Linked DNA regions of Coturnix japonica. The protein of the gene in region 2 interacts with the protein of the main gene of each other region in a pairwise test. Links are inferred from orthologs where the notes say so. Each region holds a gene or a part of one and is shown on either strand. Other genes may lie near its edges.

What was found.
Region 1: the proteins of SMURF1 (region 2) and WFS1 interact in binary tests that used the Homo sapiens proteins (3 or more experiments, as listed by UniProt). The link is inferred for Coturnix japonica from reciprocal best matches to the Homo sapiens genes SMURF1 and WFS1.
Region 3: the proteins of SMURF1 (region 2) and RNF11 interact in binary tests that used the Homo sapiens proteins (3 or more experiments, as listed by UniProt). The link is inferred for Coturnix japonica from reciprocal best matches to the Homo sapiens genes SMURF1 and RNF11.

The regions. Positions count from the first base shown.
Region 1 is NC_029519.1:72,167,120-72,170,949, reverse strand, and holds part of WFS1 (wolframin), read right to left. Parts: intron 406-3,830; coding exon 261-405; intron 1-260. UniProt on the Homo sapiens protein: Participates in the regulation of cellular Ca(2+) homeostasis, at least partly, by modulating the filling state of the endoplasmic reticulum Ca(2+) store.
Region 2 is NC_029529.1:4,357,709-4,361,638, forward strand, and holds the start of SMURF1 (E3 ubiquitin-protein ligase SMURF1), read right to left. Parts: upstream 2,831-3,930; 5' UTR 2,673-2,830; coding exon 2,618-2,672; intron 1-2,617. UniProt on the Homo sapiens protein: E3 ubiquitin-protein ligase that acts as a negative regulator of BMP signaling pathway. Mediates ubiquitination and degradation of SMAD1 and SMAD5, 2 receptor-regulated SMADs specific for the BMP pathway.
Region 3 is NC_029523.1:21,408,348-21,412,277, forward strand, and holds the start of RNF11 (RING finger protein 11), read left to right. Parts: upstream 1-972; 5' UTR 973-1,438; coding exon 1,439-1,561; intron 1,562-3,930. UniProt on the Homo sapiens protein: Essential component of a ubiquitin-editing protein complex, comprising also TNFAIP3, ITCH and TAX1BP1, that ensures the transient nature of inflammatory signaling pathways. Promotes the association of TNFAIP3 to RIPK1 after TNF stimulation.

The DNA.
Region 1 (3,830 bases), on a different chromosome or scaffold from region 2:
CTGAAAAGAAGCTTCAGTGCTGTTGAAGGGAACAATACACATGAATTCCATGAAGGAATTCAACCAAATCATTAATACAAATGTTTTTGTAAGCTGCAGTTTGCTTTTTACAGCACTCATTTGAACACGCTTCCTGCAGCTACTCATATAATTTTGCCATGAACGTTCCCACCGTATTTTAATGTGTCTTTTCAGCGTTAAAATGGATAGACTATTATTAAATTAGGATGTACAGACTAAAAGTCTCAGAGAACCCATACCTCTTCTGTCTGCTAGGCATCTACGCAACAGTTTAACAGCTTCTCTTCGACCTTGCTTAGCAGCAAGGATGAACCAATCAACCGCACTACAGTTGTTAAGTTCTTCATCCTCCTCTTCTGCTAATCTCAAGTAGTGTTTCCCCACCTAGAACAAGCGGAGAACAAAAATTCTTTCAATTACTGAAATACATGTAGTGTCCGTCTCTCTCCTCTCACCCCATCAGACTCAGCTACAATAAAATCTCTTTGAACAAAAGGTCAAAACATTTGCTCCCAGCAGTGAAGAATATAGTTGTAAGTTGATATTCTGCAGAGAAAGATCAGTTTCCAGAACTGGAAGCAAGAAGGAATTGCAGTACACTTGATCAGGTCAAAGAATTAGTTGCCATTGGTCTTTGGGCATCTAGCAGGATTAGTTAAAGTTCATGGTGTTATTAAGTCATATTAAGAGTGGTCATCTTCTTCAGTATCTAAAGGGGAGCTACAAGAAAGTACAGGATAGGCTGTTATGCAGGGTGTGTGGTGATAGGACAAGGGGAAATTGTTTTGCACTTAAAGAGGGTAGATCCTGGGTGTAAGGACAAAGTCTTCCACAGTGAGGGTGGTAAAGCACTGTAACAGGTTGCCCAGAGAAGTGGAAGCCCCATCCCTGCAGACAATCCAGGCCAGGCTGGACCAAGCTCTGGGCAACCTGATCTAGCTGTGGATGTCCCTGTTCACTACAGGGGAGCTGGACTTGATGACCTTTAAAGGTCTGTTCCAAGGATTCTAAGATTCTCTTCGATTCTTTCAATAAAAATGGTCAGACAAAATTCTGATGATGTAGGCTGTTAAAGTCTACAGTTTAGTCTCTGAAGGTCAAAACAAACTCACGATTAACTAGTGAATGGAAGATAACTAACACGGCTTAAGAACCTAGCAATTTAAGCGATATAACTTGTAAAATTCTTACCATTAAGGATTAATGTAATGTTAAATATACTTACGCTCTAGCATGAAACACTTCCGCTTATCATACCCTAACACTTAAATGTTAAGTGGCAGAAAGTGGCCAAAAGTACTGGACACTTATTTACATGCCCACAAAACCTGGGAAATGCTTTTGTTTAGTTAACTGCACTCCTTCTCTCTCTCTGTCTCTTTCAGGTGCGTTATTATTTACACTCAGAATGTAACTGAAATAGTAACAGATTACAGCTCCATAAATCTAGTATTATCTGTTGAAAAAAAAACCCACGAGACCAAAACAACCACCAACCCTGCTTGACAGTTTCTCTGAAACTTTGCATTTGATATCACCAATAAGTGTGACTAAAGAAATATCTTTGAAAGGTGAATAATAAACAGTTGTTGCAAGCAGACTGAACACTCTGATCTCATCAAAAAGATGTTTCTGTTAGACATTAAAGGTTAGGACTCCAATTCTGCAACTGGTTCAAGCACTTAAGTGGGTGTTCTAACAACTTCAGCAGTCACCAAGTCACCAAGACCTTGGAGCAATTAAATACAAAGCACAGCAAAGTGACCCAAAACTGTAAAGGAAATAAAAAAATATTGGATTAAGCAATACAAAAGATAGAACTAAACACTTACTATTAATTCATACAGGAGTTCAACCAAGCACTGCACAGATATAGTGGCAGAACAAGAGAGTATATGAGGTTACTTATTTACTTATTTTTACCTTAATACTTCAGCCTTGATAGTGCAATTCCCAGGTAATTCATCACCAACTGCAGATCTACCTTCAGCTTTTTATGTCAAGAAGGAATTGTATGAACGAGTTGCAAGGTAAATAACATCTTCCGACAAGAACAGGAGTTTCTTGAGCACATTTATGCTTCTAGCCATTGCAATTTTGAGCAGAGCTTCAAGAGTAGTAGCACTTGATGTGGCTTTCAAATTTATGAACATCTCTTGGTCACAAAATCTCATATTGCAATGTAGGCTAGGAGATTTTGGAATTAGTCATATATTGCACAAGTGTATTGCGTGAGGAAAAAGAAGCCATAGCACTGGTTTTATAATATAAATGTTTAGGGGTCTGGATTTTTTTTTTCCTATGGAGGTTTTTGTTTGTTTGTTTTTGAAGTTCAACATCAAGATTGAATTATTTGACCACTTCCCCCCCTTCCAAAAACTGCAACAAGACAGAGGCAGCTCCAAAAGCCAAGCAAATATTTGCTTGATATTTCAGTTACAAAGCAACAAGACTTTCTGTGTATTTAGAAAGTTTTATAAGCAAAAATCACCTCCAATCACCTCCAAGTTACAAGCATGTTGCCTTTTCACAAAATACTGCTGGAAGGGGCTCTAAAAAAGCCCCACACCTTTCCTTCCTATGGCAAAGCTTCCACGTGGAGCCAGCCATGAATGGCTGCACAGCTCTGGCCTGCAGGGGTCAAATAAGGAAGAACTGATGGGAAAGAGCATCAGCCTCAGATTGCTAATGAGACAATTCAAGGATTCTCTCTTTCCCGTGAGCAATGGTTTAACACAGGCATATATACTGTACTTCCCTAAAGCTGACTGCCCACCTCTCACCTTTGTGCTTTACCAACTGCATCATTTATCTCAAGCAGGCCCCTTGCAGATAACCTCTAGTCAAAGACACCGAGCTTCCTCTGCTTTATTACAGAATCCAGCTGTGGGTGTTTCATTTTCATAATTGCTATGCAGTTATTTCTCAATAAAGAATCTACATAAAGCTACGGTAATGCAGGCTGACATCCACTCATGGTGTGTTTATTTTCCACAGTCAGTGCAAGGTTATTTTTGAATAAACTTATAGTAATAGCTACTTGGCAGAGAACTGAGAGACTCTTTATGTTTGATTTTGTAATTATCAAGACAAAGAACGATGATGTAATGCCAACTTCTTATTCATAGTCTTACAACAGTCACAAATTAAAGTAGTTTTCCTGGCTGGATTCTAAAGTAGAGAAGGATGCATATATATGCACTATATCTTACTTATCTAGGTTAAAAATGAGAGATAATTCCCTCTCTATAGGCTACGACATCCATTTGTCTAGAAGATATAACTATTTGGGGTTCTTTTCCAAACTGTCATTTCCTCCTGAATGCACACTAATGCAAAATTTTATCCCAGATCTTTTTAAGAAAAGAATACTGTTATTATATGGGAACAGAAAGTGTGCACAGTTAAAGAGCTAAAGGAAAGGAGCGAAGGAGGAATGAACTGCAAAGGATAAGGATGAAATACAATTATTATTTATATATATATATGCATACAGATCATCGGCTTAGATTACCTGTGGTATTTCTTACTCAGCCAGAAGTTAAACCCCAAAATAATGTTCTATGGGTTTTGCTCTTTGGTGTGGAAGAAGAGCCAAAACGTGGACTTTGTAGCAGCAATCCCCTCACGGCTAAAGGCAAAGCCACCGGCTGCTTTGGAGGTGAGGAATTCCTTACCGTCTCAGGTTACAGCTCCAAGGACAGCCTGCCCTCAAACCAGCTGAGATGAAGTGGGGACTGAGTCTGGAACTGCCACGTTTTTATCAGCTTCACAAGCATTTCTCTGTGCCACTGTTCCTGCCTCCTCCC
Region 2 (3,930 bases):
GAAATAACAGTATGAGTAAGAAGCACGTAAAGCTTTGGAGTTGATCAACCCTTTGGAACTGCCCCCAGGGAGCAGCGACTGCAGCAGCAAAGAAAGGTTTTAGAGGAGGACATCAGCTAAAAAAGGGATGTGCTTCACAAAGGCCTTTGGACCACATTCCTCCCTGACCCAGAAGAACCTGAGCAGACTCCTCAAGCACTCACAATACCATTGCATTGTTCCCATCTCTTTTTTGAGTCATCTGTCATGGCTGCTCTACCCGCTGACAGCACGGATACAAAGAGACTACGGATATAATGACAAGTCCTACCTTCCTTTGCCTAGAGCTGCTTCCAGCAGTGAGACAAGGCCATAAGCACCCTTGGCTGCTCTATCACCAGCAGTGGTGAAAGCAAAAGGAACCCTGCATATACTTTAGGAGAAAGTGAGATATCAGGTTCATGAGCCTTGAGGTCCCTTCCAACATGGACCATTTTGGGATAGGGAGAGATGAGCATGTTTGAGGACACAGACATTTTAACCCACCACCCAAGTTACCTGCAGTTGGATCTATTGATTTATTTATTTTTCCTTTCTAAACAGAATGTGCCATTTACCATTTCACTTCATTGCAATCTGCATCATGGTAGGACTGACACCACCCCGCACGAGCTGGAAGATCTAATATATTCATATGACTGAAATGCTTTTAACTCAATGCTTGTACAAACACCATGCCAATAAACAAGGAAAATGAGAACAATGCCTTTAAAAGTAGCAAGATTCAACCACCATTTGCTTTTCCTAATGCTCACAGGCACCTTCAGACTGAGCAGTATTGCACTACTGAAAGTAGCTGTGTGAAAACAAATGATTTCTAATCACAGGAAATACAGCGCAGGTAGTAGATCGTAACAGAAGACGTTCCCTGTCTTGAATTAACACCACTCAAAGCTCCCAGCAGCAGAACAGATGAGGAAGCAGCAGCCGCGATAGCTGTAGTGCTTTGGAGCAGGTAAGTCAGCCCAGCAACCTCCAGCCACGTTGAGGATGCAGCATTTCTTAACAACTCCAAAGGGAAACCTCTCCCAGAGCAATTAGTTTCTGATGAAACGCAGCAATTTTTGTCATACCACCCAGGTCACATGCTTGTAAAAACCTAAAATGAGTTTGAGAGAGCAGAGTTCTCCAATATAATTAATTAAAACAACAAAATACGAGTGAGAAAATCCAAGTTGCTCAATAAGCTGCAACTTCAGCCTCTTGCACAAAATGCTCTCAGCCAGGCAGGAATAGCACACGCTAAAAGGCAAAGAACACTTTGACGCTGCATTCGCTCTTTAGAACTAAAACCAACAGCTTCTAAAACCAACAGCTTCTGTCTGTTATTTAAACGATACCTGCCCGCTCCACAGGGCTGCGACCACAGCACAAGTTACTCAACTGCCTGCGTGTTGATGGACTGACTGGCATACAAACAAGGCACGTCAGTGACTGAGTTGGCATTTAGCACACGGCTCCACAAAACTGATTTCAGATCAAACATCGTCTTTACACCCTAAAAATACTTGCAGCCTTCTCGTGTCCGAAAGGATTTTCAGATTGATATTTTCCTTGCCAACTGCAGCCTCCTAAAGCACGAGCAGCACGGGATCAAGGAAGGATTAAAAGCAAACCAGGGTTTTATGTTGAAGAGTCGCTGCTGACTGATTGCAGTGCACACCAGAAGCAAGTTCACCTGGAACTGGAGTTCACCTTGTGCCATTTCTCTTATTGTTTGGCAATATCTCACGCTCCCACAGCCACAGTTCCATAAAGATCAATACCTGTGCCTGGGTCTGAATGAACCACGGCACCGAGATCTCCAAGTATCCACCTGTTGCCTTTAAAAAGGTCAGATCGGGTCTTATTTATTAATAATTCACCCCACAGCCTTAAGAATCAGAACCTGTGCCTCTTCCCATTAGAACAGCAGCTCAGCATTAGCTGGAGCAGCTCTCAGAGCTAATCCAGACCTCGGAGGGTGCAACATAAATTGGTTTATTCATGTGTGCACACAGAGTTGAGGAGACACAGAGTGCAGTCATTCATTGGCACCTTTAGCTCAGGGGAAGGACTGCAGGAGTTGGGTTTGGGAGAGGAAGCAGGAGAGGAGGAGAGCAAAAAGGGAAACAAAATACAGCAAAACAACAGACCCAAAGCAATGAGACGCACACAGAGAGAACAACGGGGCTCTGCAACAAAGCCTACGGAGCCCAGCGGAGGCAAACGAGATGAGAGGAGGGTTCGGACAGAGCGAACCTGAGGGAACGGCGGCTGCACTGCACACTGCAGGGGGCGGGTGGGAACCGGGAACCGAGAGGGGGAAAAGAATAATAATAATAATAATAATAGAAATAACTTGGAAACGCAGCAGCACCGCGGGCTGGGAGCGGGAATGGGGGAAGCGGAGCGAAGGAGCGGGGGAACAGCTGGGCCCCGCCGCCACGGCCCGGCCTCACCGGCGGCCACGGCCCCCCCGGCACACACACATATACACACACATACACACACATATATACACACACAGCCGCCCCCTGCCCACAACCGGCCCCTCCGCACCGAGCAGCGCCCCGGGCCCCTCCCGCGCCGTTATTACCTGTGAGGCGGATCTTGATGCTGGAGCCGTTCCGACGCGTCCCGGGATTCGACATCGCGCCCTGAGGCGAGATCAACCCGCTGCCCCGCTCAACCCCATACGGGCCCGCTCCAACCTCCGGCCGTTCTCCGCGCTCCGATCGCGGCCGGACCCGCCGCCGCCTCAGCCCGACCCGGCCCGGACAGCGGCTCCGCTCCGCCTCAGCGCCGCCCCGCGGCTCGGCCGTGACGTCAGGAGAGGCGCCGCCATCTTGGGGAGGTCGGGGATGGAGGGGCCGAGTGCTGAAGGAGGAGTGCAGCGCCCCCTAGTGTGTGGGAGGACCTACAGAACACAGCTGCACTGCTAGGCCGCAGCAATGTGTTCCACACAACTCCAGTCATCACTGAGCTTATCACCGAGATACTCTTTGGTCAGAAAAGTTCATCTCAATGAAAGGTAGAAACGCTCTGGATTAGGAAAGTAAAGCATCACCAACCCAGCACGGCACCCATAGACGCTTCGCTTTCAATCCAGTGCTGCAAAGGTGAAAGAAAGCAACTTACCTGTAACAGCCTCAAATAGACATGCAGGAAAAGCACTGACCTTTCCCTTTTTAGCTTGCTCTCAGTCAGCAGAACACCAGCACGCAGCAGCCCTGTGTCCAGGCTCAGGAAGAGCAGGAGCCCAGCTCCGGTCCACATCTCCATTTACACCGAGGAAGCATCAACCTCAGGCTCCTTTTACCCACTGAAATCCAATCATTTCCAGATGCTGCCTCAGCAGCACACTGTAAGGTGGTTCTGGCAGCAGAGCCCCCAGTGCTAACCCACAGCACAAAGGAAGGATGCACACAGGCACTCATCTCCAGAGCACACTCAGGTTTTGTGCTATTCCGATTTTCACTTCATAGTGTCAGATCCAGGAAATAAATCGACTCCAGCACTTCAACTACACTCAGCAAGCTCAGGGCTGTGCACCTTGTACAGACCACAGGGGCTCTGCTTCCTTCTTTCTAGGCAACCTGGAGGAGAAATACCCTCTATCCTGCAAGGAGGCCCAGGAGACACAGCACAAACACAAAGGCCAAGCAGGGTTCAGTTCCTTCTTAACAGTTAACAAGAGGTTACACACTGCAGGCAGGCAATGTCTCACACAGAAAACACTTCCAAAAACTCCAATATGTAATTTTCCCATATGTTTAAGGAACCAGAGAGCTGTGATCTTCACCACAGCAGAAGTATGAGAGAAAAGGAATAGAGGCAAGAAGTACAAATCCACAAGTGCAATTTATTACTAAGTTCCACCTGTAAAAGGGCTATACATCTCTACTCCCC
Region 3 (3,930 bases), on a different chromosome or scaffold from region 2:
GACTCCTCTCCAACCACTGCTTACCTTCTTAATTCTCCTATTAACCGAGTCAACATATTCCTGCGATAAACATTCACACCCTGTACAGTATTCATTGTGAGTTACAGCACACTATTACAAAGTGTTTCCATCACAAGCAACACTCACAACTCAGGCACTACTTCTAGCTTCTTAGGAAAACCTTTTCCAAGCCCTGTAAACGCCAACAATATCTTCTCTGTTGCTATAGATTTCATACTGAAAGTGCTTAAGTCACCCAATAACCAGCAGCAAAACAAAACTCTCAAACAATAATAAAAGGAAATCCTCAAGGAGGAACTCACGTGGATAACAAGCAGCAGCACAGCTCCCCACCTTCCAAGCACTAAAGGGCCTCTCAAAGGTCTGAACAGAGATGGAAGAGCCAAGTACCAGCAGCTGGCTTAAAGAACTCAGATGGGAGCCTGACACAGATCAGCTGAGACACCCTTGATTAAAGCCGGCCATGCTTTATTGCTTCAGGACCTAATTTCTAGTTGCTGTCACCTGTGTTGAATTTGCTTCAGATCAATATTCAGTGGCCTGAACCTGATGGGCAAGAAGGCACTATGAGGATCTGAGCTGGAGGAAACCCTTAAATGTGCCTTAAGAAACATGTTTCCTTCATGCTGCGTTGGTGTGGTTATGTTAGAAGGGTGCCGACTTCGCACTGTGCATACAACTGTATTTCACTTTAAAAGTTTATCTTCTCAATTGAGAGGCTGCACACACCGTTACATCAATCACGTATTGCTGTAGCTCTCATCACCTCCAAGGCCGCCTCCGCACACAAAGAGCAGCACGGCCCGGCCCTCTGCCCTTAGCGGCTGCCGGGGCCCAGCGCGGGGCAGGAACTTCGGCCTCCGGCACAGCTCCGCCCCGAGCTCAGACGCCGGGTCCGTCCCGCACACCGACAGCTGCGGGGCGGAGCGAAGCGCCGCTCGCTGTGGGGCCGGAGGCGGCCGGCCTGGCCTCATTGCGCCGGGGCGGGCACAGCTCCCCGGCCGCCGAGCGCGGTGCCGCCGGGCCCTACGTGCGCGATCCCGGCGGGGCGGAGTGAGAGGAGGAGCCGGGGCGGCCTGTGCGACAAAGCCCAGTGCGCAGAAAGCTGGTGACCAGGAAGCGGAACGGCACCGGGCTGCCGCGGGGCGGGGGGCGGGCGGACCCCACCTGAGCCCCGCTGCCCCAGCGCTCCCGGGCGGGAGCCGAGCCCTGCGGCCCCACGGCTCGGGGCCAAGTGCGGCCGGCGCTGCGGGGCGGCCGTGCTGCCGCTAAGCCGCTTAGGGCCGGGCTGGCATGAGCCTCCCCGGCGGGGCGGCTGCGGGCTGCGCGCTGCGGGGCGGCTGAGGGTGCGGAGCCGTCCGTCGTAAGGAGGGGGAGAAAGCGGAGGGGACGCCCCTGCTCCCCGGGGGGAAGGAAAATGGGGAACTGCCTCAAGTCCCCCACATCAGATGACATCTCGCTGCTCCACGAGTCCCAGTCGGACCGGGCCAGCTACGGGGACGGGGCTGAGCCGGATCAGGAGCCGCCGCCGCCATATCAGGTACGGGAGGGGGCGGGGAGCGGCGCGGCGGAGCCGGTGGGGACGGGGACGGACGGAGAGGGGCACGGGACGGGGGGGCGGGTTGAAGCCCCGAGGACCCCCCGGGGCGCTGCACAGCGTCCGTCCCCGCGGGCACCGAACGGCGGGTCCCGGCCGTGAAGTGAGGAGCGCCGCTTTGTTCCCCGGGGGGTCGCCGAGCTGTCGCGGGGCCGCACGGACCGTTCGGGACACGAAGCCGGAGACGGCGGAGGGGGGTCGGGGCCCGCCCAGGGGTCGGAGCCGCCTCGATCGTGTCTGGATTTGGGCTGAAAGCAGGAGGGGAAGGCGTCGAGTTTCCAGCCGTGCCGCTTCCTTTGTTGTCGTCGCGCGGTGACATCACTGTCTGTGCCGCTCTCGGTGCTCCCCGCACCGGAGGCCGCGCGCTCGGCGCTGCCCGGCTTTGTCTGCGGCGCTTCGGCAGCAGCTGAACCGGAGTAACTTCGTGCTGCGGGGTGAGCCCGTTTCTTTCAGCTCCGTGCGGTTCCAGGAAGGGCCGTTCGCTCTCCTGCCTGGAGAGGATGTGTACATTGACGGCTGATGACGAGCTGGGGAAGAACGCCGGGTGCTCCGTCACGTCCTCACAGCTGTGGGGTCCCGGCACAGCTCTGTGCTGTGATGGCCACCAAAAGGACCCAGGGCTGCATTTATCCCCTGCTTCATCTCCATCTCCTAAGGAAGGATTGTACGTGGCTCTGAGCAGGACACGAGCCCTGTCTGAAGGGATCTGTAACAGTGACAGGTACAGATGAGTCCTGCGCTCCTTAGGGTGGGGAGTCACGCAGGAGTTGCAGACCTTAACGTATTATTAACAAGGCTGCAGGAAGTATTTAGCAGGGCAGATATTAACCTGTGATACTCGACGAACACCGGCTGTGACAGGAGGTCCCTGGGTTGCTCCATGGGCACAGCAACCCTTGGTGGAACCATGCTGGGACCACTGGGCCCTGCAGAGCTGCTCGCTTTATGTGACTGCTTCATGACAGAACAAATTCCCTAAGATGGGTTGGGTTTTTTTCCCTGACTTTTTAGTAAAGTCTGCACAAGTCCATTAAATAAAGATGTGTGGTGTCAGGTTTTTTTGACAGGCGATGTTCTGAGCCAATCCTGCTTGTCCCTCCTGTTTGGGAACGCAATGAAAATTGTCCCTTGGAAAAAAACCTGTCGGCTCTTGCAGGAGTTGAGAAATTGCACTGTGCAGGCCTTCTCCTGTCGACTTCAGAGCACAGCAGACAGTAAAATAAGCAAACTCGCAGACATTTGTTACTGTGTGCATTCATAGCAAAACTCCCCCAAACCCCACGCGCTGATCCCAGCAGATCTCAAACACTCACTGTAAGGGGCATCTTGTGTTGCATAGTCAACATTCAAAGATACTCGCTCCACAAATAAAGAAACACAGTGCTTTGTGATGACAAAAGACCTTCACCTTCATACTTTGCAGTATTCCACACGCTTTGAGGTTGAGGGGGGTTGTAACTTCAAATTGTTTTGGGGTGAAAAGGTGTGCAAGCCGAGCGCTGAACCTGGGGAACTCCTGGAGCTCCATTATTGCTGTAGTGGCAGCAGGATGTTGTGATCTTATCCTCTTCCTTGCCTGCCTTCCTCCGCAGGTCTGCATGTTCTCTTACACACTTTAATTCTCATTCAAACATTGTAGAAAGTATCACCTATAAGGACAAGAATCCCACATGCCCATTTCTAACACTGAATCTGAGCTATGATCTGGAATTTAAAATAAGGCCAAGAGTTTAAAAACTTGTTTGTGGCACCTACTGCTGCGCACGAGGAGCTGTGGACGATTAACAACTTAAAACTGAGCTGCTGGAGCCTCAGCCATAAAATGGCTGCATTTGGGTTTGCTTCCTTTGGGTTTGCAGCAACGATGTGCAAACTTCCTGAGCCGCTCTCTCAAGGTGTGCTAACAAGCAGAGCGAAGGAAGCTTGCTGGGGTAGGTGCAGCGTTGTAGACAGGACTTGTGTGTCTCTTTGAGCTAAAGTCTGTGCTATCTTGATACTCAAAACATTTTCTGTGTCTTGGCACGCTTGTTTTGTGGGTGTCCATATGGGAATCGAGTTAAGCAATAATTTTTTAAGGTGTTCACTTCTAACTGCAAAATAGGCACCTAATAATCTCTTCACTGTTGCATGCCAAACTCCTTTTCATCACTGAGTGCTACTGAATCTGCTGTATAAAATTCCTGCTTCTAAAAGTTGAACTGAAAATTGGATTGTCAGTACAGACACATGGAATAATGAGGAATATCCCTGCCCTTCAGAGGCTCTGTATATACCTGTCACTTGTCATGTGCTGTAAGCTACATGAGAAAGGC